3 linked regions of the Oreochromis niloticus genome follow. The protein of the gene in region 1 purifies or fractionates together with the protein of each later gene. This does not show direct contact. Links are inferred from orthologs where the notes say so. Each region holds a gene or a part of one and is shown on either strand. Other genes may lie near its edges. The genes, in order: kdm5a, gatad1 and PHD finger protein 12.

Region 1 (10,833 bases):
ACTTGCAACAATGTTATCAAATGTTACACTCAATGGAACGCATTAGTAGACAAAAGATAACCAAGAGCTCATGGCATTTTTAATTTTAGGTCAGCGTATTCAAATTCAAATTCAACTCCGAGTTAATGTCTGAGCAGCTTCACTTTACCTCGGACTTCAGGCGCCTGGATCGTCTCTCTGGCAGTAGCCGCTCTTTGGTTTGCAATCCATCACCTTCTCCATCTTTATTCTTCTCATCCTCCTCATCGTGCTCCTCTTCCTCTACAGCCTCCTCGCCAACTCCCTCATCTACCTCATCCCCATCATTTCCCTCATCATACAACCTTTGGAGGCCCTAATCAGAGGCAAAATGATCACTGAATAGGTTACCAAAGAAAACCAGGATGTTATTTGGCCCAAAGGTTATTACAAGCTATTAGTAATAGGACATTTATATACAGTATGAAGTGTTTTGGGAGAAACTTCCTTAAGTACAATACATATACATGCAATTTAGACAAGAAACCTCAGAATCTACTTATGATGGTCTAAAACGCATTAGCTGTAGTTTTCCTCCCAATTATGATATAAAATGCAGTTAAACAGCATTCAGCACCACTCACAGTTAGTGTGGCTCCAGTCTGGAAGAGCTCATAGGGGTAAAGGATCCTCTCATAGTGAGAACGTAGAAGAGACCCGGTGCCTTTTCCAGGAGGGTAGCCCATTCGGCTGGCCACCTTGGACCATAATTTTTCTTTACACACCGTCTCAAAGCCGCCCTCGGATGACACAATCTTTAATGCACACAAGGAAAACATTTTTTTAGCTCTTACCACTTTATCTATCTAATCATCCAAAATATTTTTTAACATCATAAGGTAAAAAAAACATTTTTTGTGCTGCCAAAGGATCCTTATTTACAAAAATTCACTAAAAATCCATTTTTAGGCTAAAAAAACAAAAATCTGAACAAACAACAAACAAACAAACAAACAAACAAAACAAAAAAAAAACATCCATGCTGACTGGTTCCACCTTGCTGAGCTGGTAGAGGTCCAAGAGTTTCCTCTCCACATGAGGGAATCGAATCTTAGATCCTTGCAGCTCCCAAAACTTTGCGATTTGATCCAGAAAATTGAGCTTTATGCGAGTGAGCGCCTGGAAAAGCAGCAGAGAAAGAGCAAAAGGACAGATTAGAAAAATCAGAGGCTGGTATTCATTTTGTTTCCACATTTTGGTACCAGGAAAACCAAGAAATTTTCATGGGACACACACACACAAAACAAAAAAAACAGTATGTCCAGACACCAGATCTATTTGGCTAACTATCATACATAAATACTGTTTGAGATCAGTGAAAAATAGGGAATGCAGTCTGGTAATGATCATCTGTGCATTTCTAATATATAAAAAAAAACAACTTTGCAGCTGTCCTGGTGCCCTGAACTGAAACGACACATATCCAAAAATTGACTTTAAGAAAGGGCATCCATGACATCAAATGTTGGACACAATTAAAACTAAACTGAAAAAAATAATAATGCAGCTTTTTGTTTTGATTTAATAACCTTTTCATAGTCAAAATAAAAACTGCAGTGTTTTTTCCCCCTGAGTGAGACTTTTCTTTCTTGGTGTCCACATCTCCTCAGACCCGACATGGTCTGCCCCCATTCAGGTCCAGTCCAAAAAGGCTACATAGTGCCTGTACCACCTACAACAACTGAGGAAGTTCGGGGTCTCTCCAGTGAGCCTCAGGACTTTCTATGCAGGCGCTGTGGAGAGCATCCTCAAACAGAACATTGCATCCTGGTATGGGAACAGCTGTGTTAAGGATCAAAAAGCTCTTCAGAGAGTGATCCATACAGCAGAACGCTGCTGCACGACTGCTCTCCCCTCTCTACAGGACATCTACACCAGGAGATGTTGGTTTAGAGAAGCTCAGATATTGAAGGACCTGTCCCAACCAACTGTTTCATCAGGCAGAAGGTTCCGCACCATCCGGGCAAGAACAGAGAGATTCAAGATAAGCTTCTATCCCCAGGCCATCCGTGTCCTAAACCAGAACATGCCGCCCACTCCCCACCCACAGCATCCATAACTGACTTTAACACTTTAACACCCACTCAAACAATGCACTTTTAAAGCACTTTTAAGAAAGTTAATGTTCAATTTTAGAGAACGACTGGATGGTTCGAGTAACAGCATAATTTTAGCACTTAGAGATCCGACAGTGAGTGGTTCCCGTTACTCATCCAGTCTGAGAAAGCACTGGTTGAAGTGTTTGTGTATTTATTGATTTCTTTTAAGTAATTGTGTTTTATGTATATTATGGTTTTATATTTTTACTAATGCTTTATATGTATATATGTATATATGTGTATATATATATATATATATATATATATATATATATATATATATATATATATATGTGTATGTGTGCACGCTCGCACATATGCATGTGTATGTGTGTATATGTGTGTGTGTGTGTGTATATGTATATATATGTATATATATATTTAAGGTTTATACCTTGTGTTTGGGGGGGGGGGGGGGGGGGGGGGTTGTGTGTGTGTTTCTGTCTTGTTTTTATGGACATGAAGTCTGCCAATAAAGATTGAACTGAATTGAATTGAATTGAATGCACATTTTTAGATTTTCAATTTAAACATTTCCAGATTGTTTTATTTTATTTAATTAACTTAATGTACATAATTCACTTACTTACTGCATATAATGATACTTAATGCATATAATGTGGTCTTTTGTGTAATTCACTTAATGTATATAATTTTCTCTCTTTTTGCACAGTCAAGGGTGTCAGGACACTTTCCACTGCGTGTTGTACTCATAACTATGCATTTTACAAATAAAGGATCTTGAATCTTAATTATCTATCATACACACAGCTAAAGCAGTAACAATAATGGCTTCAGTCTCATTATAAACAATGACTGGAGTTATTTTATCTATTCATTCATTTGTGGCAAACTCACCTCAAGTTCATTCAGCCTTTGCACCCGAGGAGTGAACCGGAAGTTGCGTACATCACAGGCAAACGGAGGCTGCCAGTCCTGATTGACAACAGAAAAGAAATATTACATTCACCAAAACAACCTGAGCAATGAGGAAATCATTGTGACAACACGTGACTAGCTTAAAATTAAAATCTAAATGTATCTGTTGTATGTGGACGCCATTAGGCCCAATGTCTACCATCGTTCCACTTTAAAACCAAAACACCAGGTGGGAGTGAGGAAAACAGCTACATTTTCTTCGCACTTTCGCCCACAATTTTTCTGAACAACAAACGGAAATCAGTGTCACAAATGTTTAATTAAAAACTGAAAAGAAACTGAGCCTCGTTTGACCTCTATTTAGACTAATGGCAACTAGTAGCGTCGCTGCGTTTCGTAAAATCCACGCAGGCCCAAAGTAAGCCAGCCCAGGATCACAAAGAGACAACAAACCAAAAACCTCTGCAGACTTTCAGTGTTATAAAAAAATACCTGAGGGGGTCGGATTTTGCAGATGCCCGTCTTCTCTGCAATAGGTCGGATCTTGTTGATGAATCCCAAAGGATCCGAGAAATCCTCCCAACTCGGCTCAAACACCGGGCATTCAGGAGGGGGCACGAACTCCGCAAACGCAGACATATCGGCGTCCTTCCAGTGACACAGTCTTTAAAAAAAATTAAATCAGGGATAAAAGTGCGCAAAGTTGAGCCTCAGGAGTCCATAATTGTGTTAGCTGCAATTGTTTCTTCCTTCTTCTTCTTTAGTGTCCATCGTGATTCTTCCAATCTCCCCAAATAACAAATCACGTCAGTGACAGGAGCATCCCAGGGGCGAAACCTAATGTGGTGTGAAAAGTGAAGGCAGAAAATACAACAAGAACCGAGTCAATGATGCATGTCACTCCTGTATCCGTAAACAGAGGGCCAAACCAGGCCGGGGTATCGCCACCAAATTCTCCCCCTACCTGGGACGGAGGGCAGGGTCAGTCCAAAAACGCCACCATTGCTCATCTCAAACCAAAGCTTCAGGAGGAAAAAAAAATCTGCGGTGAAGACTTGGCCGCAGGCGAGTTGGAAAAGAAGTTTCACAATACCCAACACACAAAAACACTCCGTCTATTATGTTAAAGAAGCTAGCATCGCTTCTGCACTACCTGGGCAGTGCATGATTATTTTTTTCGTGAGGATGCATTTCCAACAAACTTATCTAAGGTTAGCTGTAATGTTCACTAGCTAACGTAATCACGCTAGTGAACTCGTCGATGTCGTCCAAAATAAACACCAGCCTCTTCGTTCTCCTACTCCTGTGGCACCAGTCAAGCTTGAAAACAACACGGATAAGCCTAGTACCAAGCGTACACTGTTGACTGTTTCCTTCTCTCCGCACATCAGCCCCCATTCATTGAAGCATTTGAGGCAACGGAGAACTAGCACACAGCTAATTTGGTAAGCTAAAAGAAGCTTAGCTACCGCTTCCCGTTGCGCAGCTAACATTGGCGTTAGCTGGCACAGTCGGCTGAGAAGAACGGTCCTCCATGGTTTAAGCAGGTTAAATGAAATCGCATATACAAAAGCAATACTCTCTTTGCTTTGTTTTACCGGAGGCAGCTTTCTGTATATTTAAACGTCGTCTATACCTATTGTAGTCGGATTAGCAAACGTGCTAGCTACAACTAGCAAGGAAAGGGAAGAGCTCTTATGGTGCTTTCATGGACACTCGGAAAAAGTTTCACTACTTTTGAATTCATTGCTGTTTTTTCATCTAACTTTGATGTAAGCGTGAAGAAAATATGTTTCGTAACAAGCGCTAATAAATTCATATTAGTTGCAAAAATCTGCTGGATTGATTGCTGTCACAATCAGCAGTACGAATGCGGTTGGCAGTGTCAGTAATGTATCTTCGAGCAGATGTCAGTTAGAGGGGATCTCCTTAATGTGGCACACACTCAGGCTATCAGCAGCCCCATACGCCTGTTGATCACATATTTTGTTTATACATGCAACGTGTCAGAAGAAATTTAGTTGGAAGGCAGCTTAATTCAAGCCGTGGGTAAACTGGGTGTATAAAAGCTCAGCAAAAGATAAAGAATGATTATTTTTAATTGTGCACCTAGTTGATATCAACAATCCAAATGTCTGTAAATGAGCATGTCTCTTTATTGTGTTAGACACTTTGTTGCTGAAGTTGAACATATCTGCCACTAGTTTACATAGGCCGAGACAGGTTAATTTCTAATACAGCATAATTTACTAGAATACAGTAACTGTGTAAATCCTGAGCCACCCCTCATGACTTTATATTGTGCTAAGTGAATAAGGTGCAACAGTTTATAAAAGTATGCATGGCAAAAACAGAGTTTGTATAATTCTTATGAATTTGAAAGTTGATATTTGGTTTGACCACCATTATACTTCTACACAGGCTGAACTCTCTTATGCAATCTTTATTCTAATCTCTAGTGCTCAGGAATAGTTCTCCGGGCTTCTTGAAGAACAATCCAAAGCTTCGGATGTTGGCTGCCTTTTGTTTTGTTCTCTGTTCAGATGATCCTGTTTCAATAATGTTGAGGTGTGGGCTCTGCAGTTACAGTGTGTGTTTTTCTATCTATCCATCTATCCATCCATCCATTATTTTTCAACACTGTCATGTTGAAAAATAAAACCGTTATCATTTGGCTTCATTCCAGATGCTATTGCATGGTTGATCAAAATCTGATGGTCCTTTTATGTGCTCCCCTGAAAATGGTCAGGTTTAAGAAGTGGATTGTATATGTGTGAAAAACAGCCCATGTCAGAGGAAAACTTTGAAAGCCTGGAGAACTATTGTTCAAGGCCACTTTAAATTAAATTACAAGAAACTCTGGCTCATCAGAAGTAAAATATAAAGAAGTGAAGGCTGTCTCAAGTACATAAGAATCCAAATATTATAACATAACATGATCCATGTCAATTCTAAACTACTAAATAAATAACAGCTGCAGTAGGATGCACTTTACATAGCATACGGAGTGTTACGTCATCTTCTGAACCAAAAGCTACGTAAAAATCTAAGTTTTAGAATTAGAGTTTGATTTTATCTGTTGGTAAAAGTGGCTGAGGTGACTGTATTTGACTTAATACAATATTTTATTGTGTTTTTATTTTAAGAAGGATGAACTACTTAGGCTGGCACAGTTGCTGCTGTGGGCTGTATCGTCCCCTCATAGCATCAGTTCCTGGCTTTAAAACCAGGATTTATTGCTAGCTTTATAGTTTTCTGGTAGCGGTTTTCTCAACACACATGCCGAACCCTCTGCACAGTATGGCCCAGTCACCAGCTTGCTGTCAATGACAGATTTAAGCAGGAGGGATGACAGGTAGGTAAATGATGCCAAAATGTGTGACTGTATTGTAGCAAACACCTACTTAAGTTTCAAATCTGTGAAACTGACAGTAGGCTACATCACTGGCAGCCTCTGGCTTTTCCTCACAGGAGGCTAGACTGGCAATCGAACAACTTACTAACCAACTCCAGGCAAAAAATCATCAGCTAACTTAACAACATAGGTATTTACCTCTGTTTGGTCAGGACTTTTTTTCGTTTTTACAAGCGGTTAGTCTTGACCAACAATTAAAAAGTGTCGTCTGTCCGCAGGTGTGGAGGCAGTGTGCTGCGCTATGTGCATGTGGGGAGTGGGCTAACTAATTATTACATTTTAATGTGAAGTATGTTTTAAGGTTTGTTTTTAAAACTTTACATTGTAAAGAAAAGACTAACACAATAATCTAGTAGCACTTAGAGACATTGGCATGAAAAAATTCTTACTCGTCTGTGGTTCCCCTCAGGCCTGTGGTCAGGTTTCCTCAACAGGTCAACAAACATTATGGAGAAGAAGCTTTGGTTGGTCAGTTTTTTAAGCTAAACAACATAATAATAAATAGAAGGATACCTTCAAAATCAACGTGGTCAACCTCAATATAGTCAATGTGAAGGTTCACAGGTTTCCACAACAAATATCAGATCAACAAATATTTCAGAAACACTCTGACATGCTAGCAGTAGTATCTAAACTGTATAATAATAATAACTAGAACTCATCTTTTCTGATACCAAAGCCCATTTTAATGTATTTAAACACAATTTTTTTTTTCTTTTTGTAGAACCTGTGCATCGAGAACACCTGTATCATTGCGCATGACAAGGTTCACAGTAGACAAAGTCCTCACTCCACCAATGGGGAAACATCATGGATGTCTTGAAGGCCGATGACCGCTTCATGTGAAGATCTTTACCATCTGAATCATGTTTCTCTGATGGAAAAGTACAGCAAAAACACTCCCTGTCAACTATTGGCAGCTTTAATGACTCTACAGTGCACTTCAGAGGCACAGAGCAGCAACTGCACCAACTAGGATCAGGGAAACTTTTTTTGTTTTTTTTTTGTAGTTTGAAGCTCCTAAAAAGTGAGTCATCTGTTAGCCTAGATTATCATGAAGCTGTTAGTTTGGTGTAGCATAATGACTGAAAGCAAACAGAGGTGTTAGTGTGTTGTTGTGTAGTTGCCATTCGATCTAACATCATTTATTGCTGTTTTCAGCATGCTGGTCAATGCCATCCAGAGAGCAGGTATGACTGAGCTTCTGAACCAGCAGGTGGTGTTCACCTTCTTCGCTCTCACCAATGATGCCTTCAATGCACTGCCGCAGGATGAAGGCAACAGGCTGATGCATGAGTTTTATTCAACCACACAGCTTCTCTTTATTCACATTCTTAATTTATCCACATGGACAGTTTCCAGATATGTGTGTAAAGCATCTCTCTTCTTTACAGCAGCTTATACTGAGAGGTGGCTTGTAGAGATTTCTTAGTGGGGCTATTTTCCTGCCATTTATTTGGACTGTGTGGGGTTTTTTTATTTTGGGGGGGGGGGCTGTAAAATAAAGCAGAACAGTGAAACCACACAGCCTCTCATTTGATACCATGTCTCCTTCAGCCTCACCTCACGTCTGTCTTGACTAACATCTCGGTTTGAAAATGAAATTGAAGAACAATCAAATCATTATGTCTTAGTCTTTCTTACATTTTTACAACAAAAGTTGCTCTGTAATGTTCTCAGATTCTACCTATAACAGTGGTTGTGACTCCATCATTCTAACATTTGGGAATACTGCATCAACCCCGATGTGATCCAGGTTTGAAACTGAGCTGCTTTCTGCACAGTTTAACGTGAAGGAGTGAACGTGCTTTTAAAATGATCTTGTTTCAAGACTGAACTTCAACATCAGCCGTGAGCTGTTCAATGAGTGTTTCCCATCAAAATCTAATTTCAGACATAAGCACAAAACAAACTCATAGTCTAAATCAAATCAATAATAAGTCACCAATATCATTAGTTTAACTTTTATCAGCTTCCGTTCATCTGAATCTTTGGAAACAGTGAGGATAACCTGTTCTTCTACAAACATGCTCTCCCTGCTTCATGACTTCATTAAATTACCAGCATTTATTTAGTTAGTATGAGTGGACTCTGGAACTTCATGTCAGGGTTAGGGTTGCTCTCTGTGTTTGGCTTCTTTTAAAGCAGAGCAGGTCTGAAGCTGCGGCTCAGGTGTGAGCTGTGGAGGTGAGTGACAGCAGCAGGTAATACAGGACAGGTGCTGCTCACAGCAAGGCACCATGCAGCGCGCGCATGGGAAACCAACCGAACGAAGGTGGAAAAGGTCTATAACTCAAACCTTTCAGCACCGTGCAGAAACGCGAGCATCTGACCCAAGGTAACCGAGTCACATGACGCTCAGGCGATGGGGAAATTCAGCAATCACAGCATGAACTTGTTTGTTTCAGACTTATAAGTTCATAAGTTGAACTTAAGTTCCAAGGTGCTCCCTGGTCCGCCGAGAAATATAATCTCTTCACAGATTTCTAGTTCTTTCCCTGAATTCCCTCAGAGTTGGATGCACCTGGAAAACCAACAAAAAGATGCCTGAAACACTTCAACTTTTCCCTTTTGACACAAAGTGGCTCTGCTCCACATTTCTTTGTCCAAGCTCATGAGCCCTTCTCCAAGTCTGAGTACTACGACAAGAGACGTGGAAACCTAATTTCAAAATAAAGACCAACTTTGAGTGAATTTCACCTTCAACATTAACAGACATGTTAAGTACATAATAACAAATATCATTTAGTCTTGTTCCACACTTTAGATCCAAATGACACACCCTTGTACTCTAGTAAGACCCTGTCAATATCAAGGCCAACTTCTTTTGGATTTCAAAGTAAAAGACCATTTCTAATATGTGTGTATGTAAATGATGGCGTGAGTGTGTGTACATCTATGGACATCAACTTGATGTTTGCTAAAATGATAACTTATTAATTCATATAGAAAACAAGTTTTTTCTGTGAAAAACTAAAATCAACGCCAGAGAGGGTTAAAATAATTTTATGAAAAAGTTAATTCCACACCAGCTACAGGACTAAAATATTAATAGTAAGACAGCAGGAATAAATAACAAACAGGAGAAATATTGTCAAAGGAAAAAACCTTAGAGAAGCAAGAAACACAAACTCAAGTTATGGCATGTACATGGAAGAGGCTTACTGCGTGGCAAGACACAGGCAAGTCGCGCAGAGCCTCAGTCCATTCTTTATTTTATAGCAGAGAATAGATTACACAGCATCCTAGGTGGAGCATATGTAATAGAAAAACATCTCTAGATATGGTTATCGCCAGGGTTTTAATAGTTTTGCAATTTTCATTAGTTTTTATTTTTATTTCGTTTTGACTTCAGATTTTCAATTTTATATTAGTTTTAATTAGTTTTTACCAATTGTTTGATAGTTTAGTTTAGTTTTTATTTTTTTGAAAATCCTTAGTTTCAGTTTAGTTTTGATTAGTTTCAGTTATAGTTTTAGTTGCGTTTGCAATAATTAAGTGTAACAAAATCCCAGTTTCATCATATCAGTCATGCTCTTCTGCTTATCCTTGGGTATGTTGCTATTCCAGCTACCATACCCTGCACCCTGGACAGGTCGCCTGTCTGTCGCAGGGCTAACATGCAGAGACAGACAACTCACATTCCCACCTATGGGTTCTTTAAATAAATAAATAAAGGCAGATGAACAACCGTTGATACCAGGCAACTATAAAATGTATATCTTGGCCCCAATGAGACTGTTAACTCTTGCAGCACCGGGTGTTAAGGCAATTGACTCACACAGTTATGTAGATATCCCAGTCCTGTTGTCTCGGGATGCATCACGCTGCCTTGCCTGGGGTTAGCTTCTGTTTCTGGGGATGAGGGTTGGGCGTGCTCCCTTACCTTCTCCAGGTAAGCTAGGTTAGCCTTCTTGTGTGAGCTTTTCAAGTGCACTTTAAGGTTTGTGGGATTTCTTTCCCTTTAGAAATGTCCCTCATAATTTGTCTCGTTCCGCTACAAGACACTTGCTTTATCCAAAACACAGTCATATTCAAAGTAATCCCAAATTGGACTCTGACGCTTTCTCCCGACTTTTGTTGACATGATGCTACGCGTGGACGGAGCGGCAACACAGACGACCCGACTGAGGTACTTGCCACCTGCTGGCATAATAAGGCACAGCAAGAACATAACCTGGAAAATACACTTCATTCTCACCCTAGACTAACGTATGACACATACACATAAACGAAAACTAAACACATTTTCTCTATAAATTCAGTTAATTTTAGTTAGTTTTGTGAACGGTCATTTCAGTTTTAGTTAGTTTTCCTTTTATTGCAAAGTCTCGTTTTTATTTTTATTTCCGTTAACGAAACTGTTTTTTATTCGTTATTTCGTTAGTTTTCGTTAACGATAATAACCTTGGTTATCGCATG
Region 2 (10,525 bases), on another chromosome or scaffold:
TGAACATTGTAGCATTTCTTAAAATAAACACATTACACCACGTTACTGTTTATTTAATAGAAACTAACCTATACTGCAAAAACATTGTATAAAAAATAACTAAGCACACTCTTATTGCTTCCATAGGAATGAATAGGAATAGTAACAGCAGGTGTGAGAACCTCTATAAAAGCAGACGTTTATGGTGGTCTGAAGAGTTCAAGTGCATGTTTACACAATGCCAAGGAGGTAATACATCAGCAACAGAAGCGACTGCTGCTGCCAATTATTCTGGGAAGGGCTATAAGGTCATTTTCAAAAAATCTGAATACCATCACTCTTCAGTAAGAAAGATTATTCACAAATGGAAAACGTTCAAGACAGTTGCCAGACGTTCCAGGAGTGGACGTCCCAGTGAATTCGCTCCAAAGTCAGGCCGTGCAGTTCTCAGAGAAACTGCAAAAAACCCAAGAGCTTCATCTCACACTCCAGGCCTCAGTCAGCATGTTAAACATTTAAGTTCATGACAGTACAATTAGACAAAGCCTGAACATGTGTGGCGTTTATTGGAAGGTTTGCCAGGAAAAACCCCTTTCTTTCTAAAAAGAAAATGGCAGCATGCCTTAGGTTTGCATAACGTCTGAAACGATATCTTTGGACAGGCAAGACCAAAGTGGAGCTATTTGGGAATTTGGACTCTGGAACACTTGGGGGAAAAAGCAGAATGAAGAATCAAGGTGCTGCAGAGGCACAAAGTTTGAACCTCAACATGACTGAAATGCTGTGACAGCTGTGCATAAAAGAGTCTTTGCAAACTTCATTGAACTGAAGCGATGTTATAAAGAACAGTGGGTCAAAATTCCTCCTCACTGATATGACACACAGAAAACGATTAGTTCCTGCTAAACGTGGTTCTACAAGCTGCTAAATCATGGGGTGCACTTTTGTTTTATGTACTTCTTTCTCTTTAAAATACACTGCCTATGTATTCTGGTTAAGCTTTTGTTAAAGAAAAAATGACCCAGTATAATAGGTCAAATAAAAATCGTAAAAGAGGGCATTTTTTCTTCTTACCATGGCTCTATATTACCTGCATGCAAAGCTATGAAGATGTCATGGTCACATTAAACCTCTAAACTGCAGGAAACACGAGGAGCTCAGAGGAGAGTAAGCGAGTGGTTTAACACAGCAAATTCATAAACTGCAGTATTACAAAAAATGTAAAAAACATTCAGAGCAAAATGAGACAGCATGAATTTTTATTTAAATATCAAATCTAAACCACACATTTGTAAATACACAGATGGCGGTACGCCGTCTAAGCTGAAACACTTTAAATATTTACATCTGTTAGAGTCTGAGATTTTATTTTGAACTTCAGAGCATGTTCAGTTGTTTTGTAGTTTTTCAGTTCTAGTAAATTTCAAGTTCTCTACAGTCAAATCAAAACACGAATATATGGTTAACAGTAGCAACAGCACATCTGAGTTTGAGATCAATGTTTCACAGCACCTCTAAAATAAAGTTTTCACTCACTTTTATTTTTTTTAAGCCAACAGTAACACAGGAGCTAAGACATCTGCGCTCCAGCTGTGTGGGCTGGATTTCCATGTCTCAGCTACTCACGTGGAACAAGTCCGTACTGGCCCGTTATGCAGAAACATTTCTGATAACGGTGCACGTAAATCAAGCAGCCCAATTAAGTCAGTGCTACCCGGGAACCTCCATAAACAGTCTAAGTACACAAGCTGATATGCAAACTTGTTCTGAACTCCTGTTTGCATCATATATTAGTAATAACAGTACTTTAGCTCACACAAAATATATCTGTCAGTTTGCAGAAAAGGATCGCTGAACTTCATTTACTGTTGGGGGGGGGGGGGGGGGGGGGGTTGAAATTTGAGTCTTCACTTGATTTCACATTGACCCCGTGTGGGTTTGCTTTTAGTTCCATGTCCTCTAACTTCTTACAAAAGCCCTGAAGATGAACTTGAGAGTTCAAGTGTCTTTTACTGACGGTCACTTTGCTTTCGGCGACAGGCTGGACGAGTAGATGTGATAACATCTGTCCAGATGGAAAATGTGGACCATCCACCTGTTTCAGTAATCAGCTCCTTCTTCTTCTTGCATTTGCTCCAAAGAGTTGAGGTAATCTTGAGCCAAGATCTTCTTAGGCAGAATATCTGTCCAGGAAAACAAAGCAAAAAATTTTTTTAAATGCATAGTTGAAGGAAAAGATCTCATTTTTTGTTGCTGGTCAGTGAGTGATATTAACACAAGAGTATTAGGAAGACTCAGATGGTTTTAACTTGGCTGTCAAAGAGTCGACACACTGCACAGCTGCACTAAAATTTACTTTCACATTAATGTTTAAGCTTCTGTATATTTAAAATGCATCTGATATTTCACTTTTTATAGATTATAACAAACTGTTTACAAAATGTTTTTACAGAAAAGCCATTTTTAAAACCTTGACATCATCATATGTCCAGAAGACACATGCTGAGCACAAGTGGCTCCGCGGTGTAGTGTTTAACATGTTCGCCTTACAAAGCCTCGACAGAAGGGGACACAATCTGGTGTACACCTAGTCTCTGCCCCCAGCCTGGATAAATGGCTAGAAGGAAAGCATCAGGAAGGGCAGCCAGTGTAATTCTGTGCCAAATCAAACATGCACGCTCTGGTGACCTCTCCCAAAACAACTGAGCAGCCAGAAGTACCGCAGATATCACAGGCAAAACGAGCAGCAACATGCCCGAGCATTTCCACCTTAAACCCCCTGAATCGCTGGATTCAGACAGCCCGGCGTTCAAAAGTAACAAAGCAGTGAGTGAGTGTGAGCTGTTTGGATACAGACCCAAGAACACCACAGGAGATAAAATGAAGTTATGAGAGAGATAAAACTCTTATTGATGGTGTTTAAGGGTTAAAGCAGTGCCTGAGAGACTTAAAAACAGTGCTACTTTAAATAATCCTTAAAGTAAAGCTGGCTAAACTAACTCATCCTTTCTTGAAGGTTACAACTTTTGATTTTTGTTAAAACTGTTAAAATGAGTTTTAGTTTTATGGAGATTTTAGAGCCTTTTTGTTTATACTACATCATACCAAGCAGCGTTTCTAATACTTATTCTTTTCTTAATCAGTTAATTTAATTATTTTTTTTATTAATCGATTAATTTGGTCTTCTTGTGTTCAGCTGGTGGAGGTACTGTCAGCTGCTCCCTTATTTCCTAAGGGATAACCAGAGCGGATTGATCTGCGTGTTTGATTTGGTACAAATGTTTTATCAGATGCCGTTCCTGATGTACCCCTCCTGCTTATGCTTAATTTATGGAATCATGTCCGTTTGTTGTTGTATTTGACCACAGAGATGCTACAGGCAGGGGCTGTCAACCAATGCTCGCTTTGCAAGGGTCACATGTTAACAGGCAGGCCAGGAGCGGGAGAAGCATGAGGAGAAAAAACATCAAAGATCAGAAATACAGAATAAAAAGCACAGACAATGTCTGGAGTGGACACTTTTGATTGCTTTTAACACTCAGTTTCTCTTTGGGTTTTTGTATGTTATAACTTCACTCTTTTCCACAGTCAGCTGACGGACCATCAACAGCACAAGAAAGACCCACAGACCGGTTACATGACATGTTTTTGATGCATCTGACAGCAGATGCTCTCTGCAGGTAGACAGTTAGTTTGAAGCTGCCAGTGGACTGCAAATATGCTACCGCAGCTCAACCAGATTTTGCCCTTTAGACTTCTGCGATGATTTTTTTGTAGAGCCTACAGGGTAATGTACTTAAGTGGCTGACGCTGTTACCAGTCTTGATGCTTTTGTGGTGTTTTGTGTGTTTATTACTTGAGGGTGGTGTCCCAGTGTTTTATATGCAGTACCAGCTATGACAGAAACAAATAAAATGCTATTTTTTCTCCTTTTTGTTGTGGTCAGTTATTTTCTGTTTTTGTTTTTGTTTTTGGAAACAAACATATTTGTCCCTTACAGTGGACCTGAGAGGTGCAGCTAGAAGTGCACAAAACACAACAAAAGCAATTTAGGGGAGACAATAATGTGATGGAACAGCTGTTACATTTCTAGGGTTGCGTTTCTATGATGTAGATTTGAAACAGAAGCATAAATCCCTTGAAACTGCAAACACACGACCACAACTGAACCACAGTTTCCCCATTTATCTACACTTGCTGATGCTGGGTTATGTTACCACATTAAACGCTCTAATAATCCAAAGTCTGATCAGTTATCATTACAGTAGTTCTTAGACTGTGGGTGAGGCCACTGCAGGTAGGTTCAGACATCGTGTGAAACAGGAAATTAATCGATTATTCGGACGTTGTGTGAGTCAGTGCGTAGAGCAACGGCAGGAGTATTAATTCACTGTTCCTAACAATCTGGACTCTGTGCAGTCTGAGGTATGATCTGTAACCAGCTGGTGCATCATAGGGCCGCTGAGGTGCCTGCAGGTGCTTCTTACCTGTGAGAAAATGGAAAGTCTCTGTCTCCTGAGCAGTGTTGGCCAGGTCGCTGTACGACAGGCTGTTTGTTTCCTTCCCTGAGCCGTTGTTGAAGGAGGATAGAGCCAGGTGTTGTACAAACAGCTCCTAAAACAACAACAAAACAACAGGAGACAGACACAAACGCGCTGCTTCAGCTCACATGCCCTAGACAAGCTAACGGTGCTAAACGTGTTAGCAAATGAATGAGCTGCGGATGAGGTTTAGCTTACTGTAGCTTTGGTGGTGAGGAAAAGAGCGTCCTGGTTGATACTGGAGACATCAGGGGAGCTCTTCATGATCAGCCTCACCCTGGATATCGGCAGAGAGATCGGCTTTTTGCTGCCTGACGCTTGGTCGTCTTTGCCTGAGCTGTTTTGAGACATCTTCATAAGAGCAGGGCGCGAGACAAGCGGAACTTCCAAGTATTGTTTTGAACTGTGACGCGGTTTGTTTCTTCTTCGTCTGACCAGATTAAAACCGTCTGGCGGACTCAACGCTGTAACATCGCCTCCTGCCGGAGAGGCTGGTTTTTACAAGCTGACACACACACACACACACACACACACACACACACACACACACACATATATAAAAACACTTTAATTAAAATATTTATCTTTTATCTTTGTACACGGGTGGATGAATGAATGGAAATTTGTTGTAACTTTGTTACAGCAGGATAATGAATAAAAATAGTACAACTTACAATAAATAAACAGCAGTGTCACAGGCGCATAGTGAGGGCATTATACATCAAAATTTACATATACAACAATGATTTCAAAAAAGTAAAAGAAAAATTAAGTTAGTAAAAAGTGGAACGGTAAGACTCATTTTGTGCAAGCGGGCAAATTAATAAATAATTTGTACATTATGCATCTGAGAAAAACAGCTAAACATATTACCTACTCATTGTGTTGTTTTAACCAATCGTAATTTATCACTACCACAACACGATTGGTTTAAATTAATCAACATTTTCACACTCTCACAAGCTCACTTGCCTCTTTAAACGTTGTGTCCTCCAGTCCAGTGGCGTCGCGTGATTTAGTCCTGTACCTAAATCTAAACCAAAGAAGAAGAACTGATGGCAGGCGCCAGCGCAGAAGAAGAATGGTGCCGCTAGTAGTGGCTATAAATGGGCTACAGATATAAACAATCCAGGTTTCTGATCAATTTGGCTGTTCTCGCAAGTAACTCAGAGCCATACCTGTTTGTTTAAAGTCGAAGTGCCACAGAAGGAAGATTTCAGCCTCCCTGTCGGAGTCACAGCCACACAAACGGAGCATCTTCATCCTATCAGTGAGTTCTGTGTCGTTTCTTCGCCCACCGGCGTCGTTTTAAGAAGCGGCCACGATGCCGCTGGGTTTGAAACCATGTTGCGCCGTTTGCAAGACTAATTCTTCCTCGATGTGGAAGAAAGGAAACCAGGGAGAGATCCTGTGTAACAGCTGCACGGGAAAGAGCGCCAGCGGCGGGGCGTCAGGACCCTCCCTGTCCTCCATCACTCAGCCCAGCAATGGCGGAGGGAAACAGGTCAGTGAAACCCAGTGTTTCTAGATTAGAGCCAGGCCTGTTTGTGATGGTGTAAAGCCTCATGAGTTTGTCTTCAGGCGCGGTTCTTGCTCTGTTTTAGACTGCTGGAGCTGTGTGCAGACATTGCAGCTGCATCATTCACAGATAATCCTACAGGGAAAATATAATGGCGCTCCCGGAGACCACACTCAGCTGAAATAGGAAGGTTTTCTATTTCAGTTTAAATACTCAGGATCACTGTCTGTGGGAATTTTTTCTAAAGTTATTAGAAGAGCACAGGTCTCATTTCGAGACTGTAGTCTTCACTGTTCATGTGTAAAACAGTTTAGCAGTTTAACAGAAACAAGCCGGTGTGACTCCAGGAGTTTTAAATGTGGTGTTGCAGATTTGATCATAATAATTGGCTGAGAAAGCACTGGGCACAACTTTCAGGCTCTTGTGCAGCAGCCTGTGCCCAAATACAGATGGGAGAACATAAAAAGTGATGCTTCAAATGAAAGTCATTTTTGTTCTACAAAGTGAAAGTATTTAAATCTTTAAATGAGAGGCGAAACATCTCAACAAACCCCCAAGATCATTTAACCCTTATTTTTAAGTAAAATTGGTAATGTAGCAGTCTGTTATCAAGTGAAATCCAACTTAAAGGGTAAAACTATATGCCTTAAACATTACATAGCTTCACATTTTACTGAAATATTTTTCATATTAAGTGATTAATCAGTTAACTAACAAACAAACTGGTAGTTGTTAGTACTGGTCTTAGTATTGTCTCATTGCTTATTTTTCTTCATCTTCTTCAACTGACAAGCTGCAGTCAATTGTCCGATCCCTTCTTGTGTTTGTCTATAGTCCAAGCAGGAGATCCACAGAAGGTCTGCACGTCTGAGAAGCACCAAGTACAAAGCTCCTGCATCGGAGAAAAAAGTCTCAACCAAAGGAAAAGGACGACGACACATATTTAAACTCAAAAATGTAAGTTTGATCATGTAAATTAGATTTTTCTTCTTTCTTTTCGAGTTCATGCGTTTGACCCTTGTGTGTGCCAACCTTTCAGCCAATCAAAGCACCAGAATCCGTAGCGACTATCATCACGTCAGAATCCATATTTTATAAGGTACGGTGTTTATTGTTGCCAGGCATGAGAAACAATACTTTCACTTAAAATTGCTCTGATCTTTTCAAAGCATTAATTATATCACTGCTTTAATAAACCTTAATCCTTTATCACTGTCAATATATCACAGGGTGTATACTACCAGATAGGAGACGTGATTAAGGTAACGGATGAAGAAGACGGGAAGCCTTACTACGCTCAGATTCGAGGCTTTGTGCAGGATCAGTACTGTGAAAAAAGTGCAGCACTGACGTGGCTCATCCCCACTCAAGCCAGCCCAAAGGACCAGTTCGATCCTGGCACTTATATTGTTGGTGAGCAGTTATTCTGGATCATGCAGTGCTCTAATGGAATTTGTTCATTTAAGCTTTAAAAAAACAAACAAACATGTTTTGCAATAGGTCCAGAGGAGGATCTGCCAAGAAAGATGGAGTATTTGGAGTTTGTGTGCCACGCCCCCTCTGAGTACTTCAAGTCTCGGAGCACCCCATTCCCTACTATCCCAATACGACCAGAAAAAGGCTATATCTGGACCCACATAGGACCCACACCGGCCCACACTGTCAAAGAGTCTGTCAGTGCCAGCAGTTAGTGGGACTGTGATTAAAGACATGGACTCTGTTTTTAAAGAAATAAATGTACATTCTCATCATGCTAGTGCAGGGTCTGCAGTTGCCGGCACATCAGCAGAGTATCTGCAGTGGTAGATGTTGCAGTCAGTGGAGGTTTAAATGTAAATAAAGTTTAAATGTAATAAACGCTGATATCTGGGAGGACTGTGTCATCTGTGAGGATACAGGACGGTCTGAAATGTGACATTTGTTTTTAGTGACGCCTAGCAACAGGAGCGACGGGGTCTTTCAATGACTAGTAACAGGAAGAAGCATCACAAATGAGACACCCCCCGAATTACATCAAACTTGGCACTGCCTCAGTCCATACACCCGCCAAGTTTGAAGGGGAAGAGACGAAAAATGCATACAGAGATTCCTTCATTTATTAAGGAGATAATGATTTTGGAGTTTTCTGCTCATTAATTCACATTTCAAGGCGAGTTGTAAGTTGATGGTAAGGATGTGTCTTATTGCTTTGTGAACAAGTTATTCACAAGCTGTGATGCTGAAACATATGGAAACTTGTTTACACCACTTTTTTTTTTTTTTCCCAGTGGCAGAAACAAGTTTCCATAGAAATGTTACTTTTGTATTTGATAATAAACAAAAAGCTCTTTTCCATCACTACTGTTGCCTGTGATTTGTCTTTTGTTCCTTAAAAAAATGATACAAATAAATGTTTAAAAAAAAAAACATTAACAGAGAGATCTGATTGTTTTTTGTTTTAGCATCCTGATTAAACAAATGTCACGTTTGATTTATGTCAAAATGTTAGAGACTGGTGGTGTCTAAAGACTGGAATGAACCCACTTGTGTCAGTGAAGCTCTGACCGTGAACGTCTCATTGAAAAGTCTTTAAGTCGGTGGTTTGTGTCCGTTTCTCAGTCGGATGCTGTCCAGAGTTGTTTAAACGCGCACACAATAAAAACAGTTACTTTGATTTACAGACGTAAGGTTGGGTCGCGTGTATCACAGATCTCTAACCAATCAAACCGAATTTAACCGAAGCAGGAAGTGCGCGGCAGTCATCCCTCTCTCTGCCTGTGCACTCTTGGATAAACGTCTCGGTGAAACTTTGGAGTAGTCGGTGAAATTCCCAGTCCGCGAAAACTCTTCCTCATGTCTTGAGTTATTTTTCCTTTCTGGGCTGGACATGGTGAACATTTCTTGATCACAGTATGGGCAAATTCCAGTCCAAACACGGTGAGAAGTTACATCTAGTTAGCTTCTTTTTTTATTATTATTAGAAATGAAATACTTGAAATGTCTTATCACTAGCGCTCATTGTCATCTCATTATTTGGGCAGCTTCGAAGCCCAGGCAGAGTCCAGAAGGTAAGACAGAAAAGACACATGCTGTCATAGCTCATTTGTACATGGATTTATTAATATTTTTTCTTTTCTTTTAAAAAAATAAATGGTTGCTTTTATCCTCTACAGGACGGAGTTTGGCTTCCAGTGTGCTGAGAGAGTCGCAGAGTAGCCACATATGCAGAAGAAAGCTGACAGAGGTAATGAGTTTTGTAATTGTTCTTATATTAATAACCAATTCTAAAAAAGCTAACCTATAACTCGCTCACCTCAGGTACGTTTCCTGTATCACTGCGCTGATCTGGTGCTGACAGAAAAGAGGTTAGACCTGAAGCTGGTGCAGTTATGCCCGGGTACTATTCAGCTCCGGAAACCAGCCAGGTTTTACTAGTAATTTCGGTAATAATGTAGGGCCCAAAAAGCAAAATCACATTTTGTGTAAGCTGCTTTCAACAAATAAATAAATGCACATGAGGCAACATTAAAGCCAAATACATGTGTTCTTATGGTGCAGGAAAAAACCGCACTGCCTCTTTAAACGCCTTTAACACAGCGTCCAGGGCTTCATTTCAGTCGTGCCAGCTTGGGGACAAACTGCTCACATCTATCCAGGAGACATAAAAGATGTTTGGAAGGTGGTCGTTTATTTATTTCTCCACCCTTCCTCCTCCATCTCTATAAAGAGACTTCCAAGTCTGTGAAGTTCAGCACACCCACCCCCCTCCAGACAGCGAGGTCTTTATGCCCAACTTCACTGAGGGGGAAAAAGAGAAAAAAGAAAAAAAAAATCCACATCTGGGACTGCTTTCCTGCCCCAGCCAGACGGGTGAGGGTGTGAGGTGGGGTGTTTGGGGCTGGAGTGGGTGAAGTGTGGCTGTTGCATTGCATAAATGGCATCAAGTGTAATAATGTTTTTTTTAATTTGTTGCTTCTTAGCCCACCTGATTAAAAACACTGATTTCATCTGTCTTACACGCTTTAAGGACAGAAAATTCACTGATCCAGCTTTTCAAGTGTTTGATCTCTTGATATCTTTGGGTATAACTTGTTATTTTAAGGCCAATAAAGTCTGGAGCTCAGGACAATATTTGCACAGGGCTGCTGTAAGAAAAAAAAGTTCTGGAAAGTTCTGCAGTTTGGAAAAAGATGTTGACTCTGCCAAGATGTTTAAAGGGCTGTGGTGGAGGTTCTGCGCTCGGAGCACTTCCTGCGATTACATTTTCCAACCTAATGTAGTTTTATTCCCCATGACACCACTGCTGTGAAGTGGTAATGTCAAAAACATCTCTTTTTCTAAAAGATGACTCCGTTTTTTGCATCGTTGTTAGAAAGATGTTTCCGTGTCACAGTTTTCGCAGAGGTGACAGATTAAAGACGGTTTTTAGAAGCTGGAACGATTTTGTAGAGATAACTAAACAATGAAGTCTTTTATGTGCAACGTTCGATGTATCCAGTGAGGGGGA
Region 3 (10,939 bases), on another chromosome or scaffold:
TGAGTTGCAACAGAGAAATTTCAGCAAATTATTCTGGCAAATCATTTTTTTCAGCCCTCTATAGGTCTTTTTTTCATCCTTTCAGTCCTAACATATTACCCAGTCCATAGTATAGATCATCAGCACAATTACCCAGTTAGTGTAGGTTTTTGTTTGCTGTGCTGCTGGAAGAGGCCACTAGTGTGCCACAAAACTTACAAAAAAACAGGCTGTACTAAAGCCTGACTATTCTTGCAATGATTGTAGCCTTGCTGCTTAATGGTCATTCATCACAGTTACATTATTTCATCCCGCAGTCCGAAAACATGCATGTTATACTAGTTATCCATCCCTTATTTATTCCATAATTCGGTCCAACATCTTTGTACTCTGCACCAGAAAGAAAGAAATATAAATAAATAATAAATAAATAAATACATTATTATTGTCATGTTGTCTGTCATGTTGTCATGTTGATATCTTGTTGTCAGTATTGTCTGTCAATAGCAAAGAAATAGTCAGAACCCATTTTTTTTTATGTGTACACATACTTGGTCAATAAAGCTGATTCTGATGTAAATGGTTGTCTTCCTCTGTTAGCCCTGAGACACACTGGTGACTTGTCCAGGATTATACCCTACAACAGTGGGCAGATGGATGGGTTGATGGGTGGATCTGATTATTTATGTGCATGTAAACACCCACACTGGCTGACACACAGAGCATAGTTGGTGCAATGGAGCAGGAGATTACTTTATCAGTCTAGTTCCGAGGCTTTGCTCAGTGTGCATATCTCTGATTACTTTAGCAATTTAGGACATTTAGGTATCTTGCACATGGACCTTTCCACAGCTGGAGAAACAACCTAGCAAATTATCCTTTTGTAGGAGGAATTAAGAATAGAGAGGCATTTACCAGTTCTAGCAGCAAAAAATAATAAGTGTCACACCAATCCCCAAAAGCCTGGATGAGCCTGACCAAGAGTCCGAATTCTTGGTATTATCAGCTGACTGAAACTTGGACCATAGATAAAATATAAAACATGCATGTAGCCATAACTCATGTTTACTAAGCTCAAACAACTAGGGAGCCCAGGGCTGTTTTCCCATAGAAAATCTGGAGTCTTTTTCCAGCCACAGGGGTTGCTCTCTCCTGGCCTTTTAAAAAAAAAGAGAAAGCAGATTTCAGGTATTTCCACTTTGGCTTCTCTTTTCAAACCTGGAAAAGTAAAGTATCTTCTCCAAGTATAAAAAATATGTTTTGATTTTCATTTAAATATATTACATTCCTTAAGGAATCACAACCCTATATATAGGGGCGATTGTGGCTCAAGAGTTGGGAGTTCGCCTTGTAATTGGAAGGTTGCCGGTTCGAGCCCCGGCTCGGACAGTCTCGGTCGTTGTGTCCTTGGGCAAGACACTTCACCCGTTGCCTACTGGTGGTGGTCAGAGGGCCCGGTGGCGCGAGTGTCCGGCAGCCTCGCCTCTGTCAGTGCGCCCCAGGGTGGTTGTGGCTACAACGTAGCTTGCCATCACCAGTGTGTGAATGTGTGGGTGAATGACTGGATATGTAAAGCGCTTTGGGGTCCTTAGGGACCATAAAAGCGCTATATAAATACAGGCCATTTACCATATAGAGAGAGGAAAATATATGTGTGCAATTTTTTTTAAACCCTTAGAAATTCTCTTACTCTAATACTGTTAAAATACAATACTCTCAAAAATATCTTAAAATAAACACAGTAATTTAGTGATTTAGCACAACAGGATACATTTATCACAATATAATACTTCATAATTACAACCTTACAAGTCTCCTTCATCAGAAAAATGACTTAAAGTCAGCAACTAAATATTTTTTAAGGGCTTTTACAAATGTGATCAAAATATGTAGATTTTAAAAAAGACTCAGCTTTAAAAAATATTAACTGAAAATTCATTTTGTAAAAAAGATTTTTCATTTTCAACATTCTTGTACTACATATTAATGTACATATTAACATATGCACTAAAATGTTCAATAAACTGTAACCTGGTGAGTGGTCATGCTGGACATGTGTATAACATGTGATGGCTAGTAACATTACTGGAACACGGGACTACATTTCTAAAATGCAATGTCATATATCTCTGTGCACAAAATCACATTAGCTAACTACCAGTATTTTGCCAGCTACTCAAATACAACTGAGCAGTGCCTCCCTCTGCTGGCGAGGGTTAGCAATTACCCATCATTCATGGTAATTCTGTCCACTATACATTAAAATTGCAAACATTTCCCCTCTCCAAGGCAACCATTTTTAGGTTTTAGAATCAGCCCCATTAAAAAAACAGCCAATATGGGTAATGAACCACACAACTGAAGAAAACAAAAAAGGAAATCAAGAATTAGAAAAAAAACAGGTATCAAAAGTACAAGTTTAGGATAAAGGACTAATTAGAACTTTGTCTCAATTAGCACATCCATTGTTGCTACAAATCCCAAGAGACAAGACAGTGTGCAGGTCTGTTACAGTGCTAACACAAAGAGATGGGCAACACAACCAGTCGCACTAACATTTACACCTATCAATCTACCTATTTTACATATACCCATATTTATATACACACACACACGGTGCTAGGTTAAGTGATTCTAAATTGCTCAGACACTTCTCCACAAGGTACGTTGACTCAAGTATTTTACAATTTTGAGCTACTTTTTCTGCAACAATCTCTCCACATGTTTCAGAGGTAAATATTGCCATTGTATTCTGCTCCATTTCTTTTCTCACAGCTTTATTTATTTCCTACAGTGCACTTAATGAACAAGTGCTGTTTTACTGGTTATGAACATACAATTTTTCCAATTTTCTTAAGATATATATATATAAAAAAAGCCCTTCTTAGATTTGCTAGAAAATGTCAAAGAGTTGAAGGCAAAAGTATGAGCTTACTGAACTTTTTAAATATATATGATTCTTAGAGCAGAATAATGCTACATTACCATATAGAATATGATGCATAGCTCTAGAGTAAACAATCTAAGTTAAATATAATGCAACATGCACATTAATTTTGCAGTAATATCAATTTAAATACATTAGATATGAAAAGAAACATTTTTCTGCACAATGAGTACTAACATGCAATTTTCTGATAACTGCCCAGTGTCACCGGGTATTGGCAAGATATGCACAACATAGAGTGCCACCTTCATCATTCCTGTTCAACTTGTGCATCTCAGGCTTTCGGTACAACTCTGGGTCAAAGAACTACTCTGACAGTTCTACGGTGATTGGATGTATATGTGATGGACAGGAGCAGGAGGATGATTTTGTGGAGTCGTCTGGAAGAAATCATCTCTGAGTAAGACCAGAGATCATCAACTACAGAAGGAAGAAAACAACTACAGCCTGTGCCTATCCAGGATTTTAATGTGGTGGAGAAGTACAAGTACCTGGGTGCCCACACTGACAACACGGTGAAGTAGAAGACCAACAATTAGCTAGCCAGTTTTAATGTTCTTCTTTTGTTGTTGCTTTTGTTTTGAAAGGAAAATTCTAAAGAAGCCAATTGAGGTGGTTTGGGCATCTGACTAGGATGCCTCCTGGACACTTCCTATAGGTGAGGTATTCTGGGCAGTGGACTCAGTGGAGAGATCACACATCTCTGCAGGCCTGGAATGTCTCAGTATTCCCCGGATGAGGGGAGACACCCCGGATGGAAGAAGTGGTTGTTGTGAGGAAAATCTGGGCTTCTCTGCTTAGACTGCTGCTCTTGCAACATGAACCTGAATAAACAGCAGAAAATTAATGAATGAATGGACATTTTTACTAATTAAAGTTATACTTATTTTACTTTATTGTGCCTAATTTTATTTTCGACTAGTTATTATTGCTGTTAATTGTTAAGATTTTATTAAGCTGGACACCACTCTACTTATTTAAGTTATTTAGGTTTGTTTGATTTAAGTCAAACATCAACTACTGTAACACAAGAATTTCCCAGTTCTGGGATAAATGATCTAAATCTATCTTTACCTTAATATCTAAATACTTCTATTTTACTGAGACTTAAATGCAGGACCTTTACTTGCTGTGGATGTGGTGATCATGCGCCTACTTTAAGTGGGCCTGCACAGCATTTTTATTCCTTGTCTACCAGTCCCATGTATTGATGCAATGCCCCACATTTTAATGTGCTCTAGTTTGCAATAGAGAACACCAAGATGAAAAAGTGTGGCTCAAAACTGATGTGCTATAAGTGCTCTGCAAGAGCAGAAAAGTGCTGCATAGCAATCAGTCCATTTACCAAGAATCAGTCCATGTGCTGACCTATGGATTAATTGCTATTAAAACTGAAACAGACAGTTTGGCTGCTAAAGTATATTTAAACAGTTTTAATACTTAATACTTTAATACTTAATATGATAGACATGGTTCCACAAAAAAAGAGATCATACCTTCTATTTTAAGTTTGGAAATTTTCATTCACATAAATGGCAGTATATTTGTCCTTCACATAACTGATGCCAAACTGTTAACTAGCATTGTTTTTTGTTTCCAGATTTAGTTTTCATCACCTCTCAGCATTAGTAAGGTGTCACACACACATATTGTTTACCCTACATTTGGTGTTTCGAGATCTGGTCAGACTCTATAGTTGGTGTGATCTGGTTAACAAAAACCCGATAAACCTGCTATAAATACAAATTGTATTTAAGTGAGAAATTACATTATTTATGTGCTAGATGGAAAATACGGGAATTAGGGCTTCATAAATTCTTAAATAAATCTTTGGTTTAAGAGAATATAGAGGTGGATTATTGATTTGTTAATGTTTTGGATGTCTTTGTTTTCTAGTGATCTGTGCATTACTTCAGCGTTTCACTTTGCACAGTCTGGTCCTCTCTTAATTAAAGAATGTGTTTCAGACTTCAGCAGACTAATCCAGTGAGGACTTTGACTGCAAAATAGACAATGCCCTCTGTCAGAAAAGTCTGATTGGTAGAAGGATAACTAAGCGCTTTGATGACAGTGACAGCTGGTGTGATTTGGTGCTATATAATTAAAACTAAATTGATCTGAATTGAACATTTCTGTTAGAATAACTGACTTGCCGTCATCCAGCTGGGATAGGCTCCAGCCACCCCGCGATAAGGATAAGCGGAAGAGAATGGATGGATGGACTTGCTGTCTACATAGACTACATGTTGAAATAGACTACATGTTGAGCAAGCGGAAGAAGAATTAAGATGGTAATTTGAGCAGCTGAAACGCTATTGTAGCAGAAGTGCAAATTGCATGAGTAGTGTTCATAAACAAACAATAAAGCAATTGAAGCAAGGAGCAGTTAATGCTACTCGCGGTAGCAGCACAAGTACGTGTGCACAATAGTAATGAGTAGTGCTATAAGGTAATCTACAGGGAAAGTCATAGCAAAAAAAATAACTTCAAAACGTCAGTTCCAGTCAAAAACACCGTGTAGATAATGTTTTACCGGTTCGTTATAGTGTATCCGAAATTATCTATATCCGTTCCAATACGCATGCGTGTCCGGTGTGCGCGGTTGCGCCAACTGTAAGGATGTTGCTAGCAGCCAGTATAGATGCACAGCCTTTTCACAACAATAACATCAACCAAATTTGCATTTCCACATACTTGATTTGAGGATTATACATTCCGGACGCTGTCGGAAACCAGGTTTTGGGCCGTACTACACCTAGTTTTCTCCTGGATTGTTTGGTTACATTTTGTTTTGACAATGGGAGCGGGGGGCTTTGCAGATTTACAGCGCTCCTTTTTGCAGGAGCAGAAACAAGAATCATGGCTGGCCAGCTAGGCCGCAGATGGATTGTGTAGCTAAGAGCAGTAGTCTACTGTTAGAAAATTCTGTATGTTTTCGTGGCACTTACACATAAAAAGTGGTGCTAAGGAATCAGTATTTTAACTACATAGTTAGACGTCATTTTTGTTACCTTTTTATGGCCAACTACGGCAGCTAGTGAGACCGCTAGCTTCACAACCTTGACTGGTTGACGTTTGCCTAGCTAGCTCCTTTGGGCAGCTAACGATAGCTAACGTCGATTTACCAGACATCCTCTCACCGAAATCATTCGGGAAGTAATTTCTTACAGGATTTATCGTGGTTATTGTGAGCACCGAGGCACTTGGTTCGCAAATTCCTTTTGCAAAGTCTGTTTCTGGATGAATGTGGGACAAAATGGAGACCCCAACGATTGTGTACGATTTGGATACCTCTGGGGGCTTAATGGAGGTAAGGCTGCTATGTCTAAGGCCTTAATTAAGCGAAACATTCCTCTGTTGCTAGCACTTTAATATATTTTACCAAATTTGAATCGCAGCTGTCATCATCACTATAGCCCGCTGTCAAGCGCTTAGCTAGCTAATTCGGCTTGGTAACGGAGGCCACAAATTACTGTTACCGCTCTCTATAAACGTCACAGCGGACACTAGACAAGCAAAGGACAGCCGCGATGTCGCACTAAACAGCTGAACAACTTTTTCAGCAAATTCAAACACTGCTGGCGCCCCCGAAGTCAGAAGAGGTAGAGAAACGGAGTCGGAAACTGGTGAGGGACGTCCGGAGGAGCGGCAGGGCGACTAACCACGACACCTGCGATAGTTGCAGGGAAGGGGGAGACTTGCTGTGTTGTGACCACTGTCCTGCAGCTTTCCATCTCCAGTGCTGGTAAGTTATTTGACTAAAAAACACGTAGAGAATTGATGAAACAAGCGGAAACAACTAAGAGTCCCCGTCAGTTATATGTGTAAGATGGCTGAATGCTAACTCAAGTGATTGTCCTCGGTTACCGTTTCTCGGTGGTTCCGATTCCCGTAGACACATGATTTGAAATGTGTAAAGAAATAATCTGTTAAATGATTTCATTTTGCCTCATAGTTTTTTCGCTACAAAAGCTCACGCTTATATCAATGAAAAGTCAACTTTAACCATCAATTGTTCTTCCGAAATTCCCGCTGTGTTCTCCGTTCACGTTAACCATGGAGGCCGGCTTGAAGCCGCTGTGTTGCCCTCTGTAAGGTTTATTATTAACTCCCATTTTCCCTGGAAACTGCTTGCATGTCGAATTTACTTGCAGACGTTTTCAGAATCTCAGGAAATAAAGCAGTTGAAGTTAATTAAAAGACGTTTGGTGATCTAAGATAGCAACTGATAATTTAAGTAACAGACCAGAATGTTTTCTTGCTCTGGGAGGACTGTGCACCGTTATACCAGTCGTCTATCTTATATACTGACTTTTGGACTTTATAGAGTTTGAAAGTGTATAGCAAACTTATTTTCACGCGTCGCTAATGAAATTATAACATACAGGAGTTAAAATAAATGCTTAAATATGTCGTGTCTGCAAGAGGCTAGAATTAGCTTGCAGTCGGTCCTCCCCTCCTGCCGAGGCTGCAACCAGCGGAGCTGCTGGTAAAAATGTAGCCTCTGTTTACAATATGGCGACCTCGCTGCTCTTTCCCCCCTTCTTCCACCGCCATCTTACAAACCTTTAAAATCAACTCTGATGGAAAAGGGGTGCATTAATAATACGGACGAAATATTCCGCAGTTTTTTTGGACGGGTATAACAGCGTTTGTTGAGGTATTTTCGGTGCCACAGCGATAAATAAATACCCGTCTCATTTTTTCTGTATTACTACTTTTACAGACTGTCACCTGAAAACCGTATAAAACCCGTCTGTACATATATAGCCAAACGTGTGGACGCCTTCAGATTTTGAATATGTATTCATGAATTTTGCTGCTCTAATGTCTATAATGTAAAAGACAGTGTTACATGGCGTGACAGTTCAGTTGTCCCATGCACAGTGCATCTCACATGTGACCACTTCAAACACAAAAGCATCATTAAAAAAACTTTTTTCATTTTTTTAAATCTGTGGAGAAATTTATTATTGTTGTCATTTTACTGGATATGTATTGTATGTCTTAAGTCCAGTTAATTTTAATGTTAAATTCTGCAATTATGAATTCATATACCAGATGCATCAGGGGGAAAAAAGAAGTTTAAAGTTGACTAGAAACTATAGAAACAAACAGCCAATAGAAATGAATAAATTGTTAAAATAGACAAATAATAATGAATCAAAAGAAAAAGTAGTTAAATACGCTTACTACAAGCAAACTAATGGTATGCATCCATCCAGCCATTCTCTTCCACTTATCCTCGTCAGGGTCGCTAGGGGAGCTGAAGCCTATGACAGCTACCATAGGGCGAGAGGCAGAGTACACCCTGGACAGTTGGCCAGTCTGTCGCACGGCGAACACGTAGAGACGAACAACCATTCACACTCAAATTCACACCTATGGGCAATTTAGAATCATCAATTTACCCAACCTTGCTAACTGCATGTCTTTGGACTGTGGGAGGAAGACGGAGTACCCAGAGAGAACCCACGCGAACATGGGGAGAACATGCAAACTCCACACAGAAAGGCCTGGCCAGGTGGTAGAATCAAACTAAGGATCTCCTTGCTGTGAGGCAACGGTGCTAATCACTGCACCACCATGGTTAAAAATGCAAGTTAAAAAGAAAGGAGTAACAAAGCATAATGGATAGATGGTTCAGTTTGGTCACTAAGTGTAATTTTATGAATAACTGTTAAACGAATGGTGGTTGTAAGTAGCAGATGAGTGATGGAAATACCAAGGTAACAGTTAACCAGACATAATTTTAAAAAATGATAAGGTGAAATGAGGTGGATCTGACGAAGTCTTCTTGAATGTGGGCAGTATGTAGTGTAAAACATTGGGAACAATTGATTATTAATGAATGTGTCAGCTACTGTAATGAAAGTATAACATTGAAAACTGCCATTATTTTGCACTGTATGGATGTTTTTATTGTAATGCAGCCATTGGCCCACCAGATGGAGACAGAAGAAACTAGACTTTTGTTTTGATGCCAAAACAATGGGATCAAATCAGTTTTTCATTTGAATGAAATGGGAATTAGAAATTATGATTCATTTTCTGTTATTAAATATTTAATTTCTGTCTTCTTACGACAGCAACCCACCTCTGAGTGAAGAAATGCTTCCTCCAGGGGAATGGATGTGTCATCGCTGCAATGTTCGGAAGAAGGTGAGTGACAGATGTTCTGTTACACATTTGATTCATTCTGCTTTTGAAATGTATCCCGAAGAGTGTGTTCTATGTACTGATAAATTGGACCAATTCAATTTTATTTATACAGCGCCAAATCACAATAATATTTTACCCTACAATAATACATACAGAGAAAAACTCAACAATCATTTGACCCCCTATCAGCAAGCACTTTGGCAACAGTGGGAAGGAAAAACTCCCTTTTAACAGGAAGAAACCTCCAGCACAACAAGGCTGAGGGAGGGGTGGCCATCTGCCGCGACACATAGTGAGTGAGAAAGGTGACTGAAGAAAAAATACTACCCCAGCAGTCTACACCTATTGCAGCATAACTAAGGGAGTATTGAGGGTCAACTGATCCAGCCCTAACTATATGCTTTTACATATGCTGTATGTGAGGAGCAGGATTTTGAATTCAATTCTGGATTTAACAGGGAGCCAATGGAGGGAAGCCAATATAGGAGAAATCTGCTCTCTCTTTCTTGTCCCTGTCAGTACTCTTGCTGCAGTATTTTGGATTAATTGAAGGCTTTTCAGGGAGTTTTTGGACAATCCCGATAATAATGAATTACAATAGTCCAGCCTAGAAGTAATAAATGCATGAAGTAGTTTATCAGCGCCACTCTGAGACAGGATATTTCTTATTTTAGAAATATTACGCAAAGATTAGAATTGGACGAAGTCAGTCCTAGATATTTGTTTAATATGTGCATTGAAGGTCCTGGTCAAAAATGACTCCAGGGTTCCTCACAGTGTTACTGGAGGCCAAGGTAATGCCATCCAGAGTAAGAATCTGCTTAGATACCATATTTCTAAGATTTTCAGAGCCAAGTACAATAACCTCAGTTTGATCTGAATTTAGAAGCAGAAAGTTAGCGGCCATCCAGGTCTTTATGTCTTTAAGACATTCCTGCAGTTTAACTAATTGGTGTGTGTGTTATCTGGCTTTCTGAATAAATAAAGTTGGGTGTCCTCTGCATAGTAGTGCAAATGTATGCTGTGCCTTCTGATGATACTACCTAAGGGAAGCATTTAAAATATAAACAGAATTGGTCCTAGCATATCCATAATTAACCTTAGTGTGTGAAGAGGACTCTCCATTTACACGAACAAATTGGAGTCTATTAGATAGATATGATACAAACTAGGGCTGCCACAAACGATTATTTTGATAGTCGACTAGTCACCGATAATTTTTGCGATTAGTTGACTAATCAGATCATGCATCCACTGCACGTAAAACGTACAGCTTATTGCACCAGCATGCGTCTGCTCTCATATAAACTATCATTATCTTACAGCTTGAAGTGTTTAAGGTATGCGCTAACTAAAAATAAAGACAAGATGATAGTTTATTAAACTTTTAATGAAATTTGCAGATTGTCTCAGTGGAGTTTAATAAACTCAGCCGTCTGCTCCTTGCTATCTAAAGTATAACAGGACATTGGAGTAAATTCTACCATCTCACACTTTTGTTTAATCCGTTTTCTGTTTGATGTTTATTCAGCTGTGTGAAAAAACTTTAATCTCAGGCAAACCGATTTACTCAGGAACAAATCAAACACTGAAAAAAGCCAAACAATAACATTTTAAAGTTATCAAAGTGACTTATATATCGTGTTTAACCTGAGTAGCGAAAGACAGCGGGGATCTGAAAACAATGTGCCAGGACTGCTTCTTCTTCTTCAGGGTTTAACGGCAGCTGGCATCCTTGTACATGCAGTGCTGCCATCTTCTGTTTCAGTCCGTTATTACACTCTTAAATCCTACTACTTATTCCAGCGTCTTTCGGGATCTTACAAAGCTTCAAACGACGCGTCGACTATT

The links.
Region 2: the proteins of kdm5a (region 1) and gatad1 purify together in Homo sapiens (affinity purification with mass spectrometry; 6 studies listed by BioGRID and IntAct, with this or other methods). This does not show direct contact. The link is inferred for Oreochromis niloticus from reciprocal best matches to the Homo sapiens genes KDM5A and GATAD1.
Region 3: the proteins of kdm5a (region 1) and PHD finger protein 12 purify together in Homo sapiens (affinity purification with mass spectrometry; 3 studies listed by BioGRID and IntAct, with this or other methods). This does not show direct contact. The link is inferred for Oreochromis niloticus from reciprocal best matches to the Homo sapiens genes KDM5A and PHF12.

The regions. Positions count from the first base shown.
Region 1 is NC_031981.2:6,308,484-6,319,316, forward strand, and holds the start of kdm5a (lysine-specific demethylase 5A), read right to left. Parts: upstream 4,663-10,833; 5' UTR 3,636-4,662; coding exon 3,489-3,635; intron 3,054-3,488; coding exon 2,976-3,053; intron 1,138-2,975; coding exon 1,015-1,137; intron 774-1,014; coding exon 603-773; intron 335-602; coding exon 149-334; intron 1-148. UniProt on the Homo sapiens protein: Histone demethylase that specifically demethylates 'Lys-4' of histone H3, thereby playing a central role in histone code. Does not demethylate histone H3 'Lys-9', H3 'Lys-27', H3 'Lys-36', H3 'Lys-79' or H4 'Lys-20'.
Region 2 is NC_031985.2:21,143,143-21,153,667, forward strand, and holds gatad1 (GATA zinc finger domain-containing protein 1), read left to right. Parts: upstream 1-5,556; 5' UTR 5,557-5,844; coding exon 5,845-6,024; intron 6,025-6,873; coding exon 6,874-6,996; intron 6,997-7,078; coding exon 7,079-7,138; intron 7,139-7,268; coding exon 7,269-7,452; intron 7,453-7,539; coding exon 7,540-7,730; 3' UTR 7,731-8,379; downstream 8,380-10,525. Other genes in the region: chrac1 (chromatin accessibility complex protein 1), read right to left, coding at 2,080-2,162, 4,467-4,593, 4,719-4,877; protein naked cuticle homolog 2, read left to right, coding at 8,931-8,955, 9,060-9,086, 9,192-9,262. UniProt on the Homo sapiens protein: Component of some chromatin complex recruited to chromatin sites methylated 'Lys-4' of histone H3 (H3K4me), with a preference for trimethylated form (H3K4me3).
Region 3 is NC_031979.2:4,235,988-4,246,926, reverse strand, and holds the start of PHD finger protein 12, read left to right. Parts: upstream 1-5,503; 5' UTR 5,504-6,170; coding exon 6,171-6,236; intron 6,237-6,489; coding exon 6,490-6,671; intron 6,672-9,015; coding exon 9,016-9,088; intron 9,089-10,939.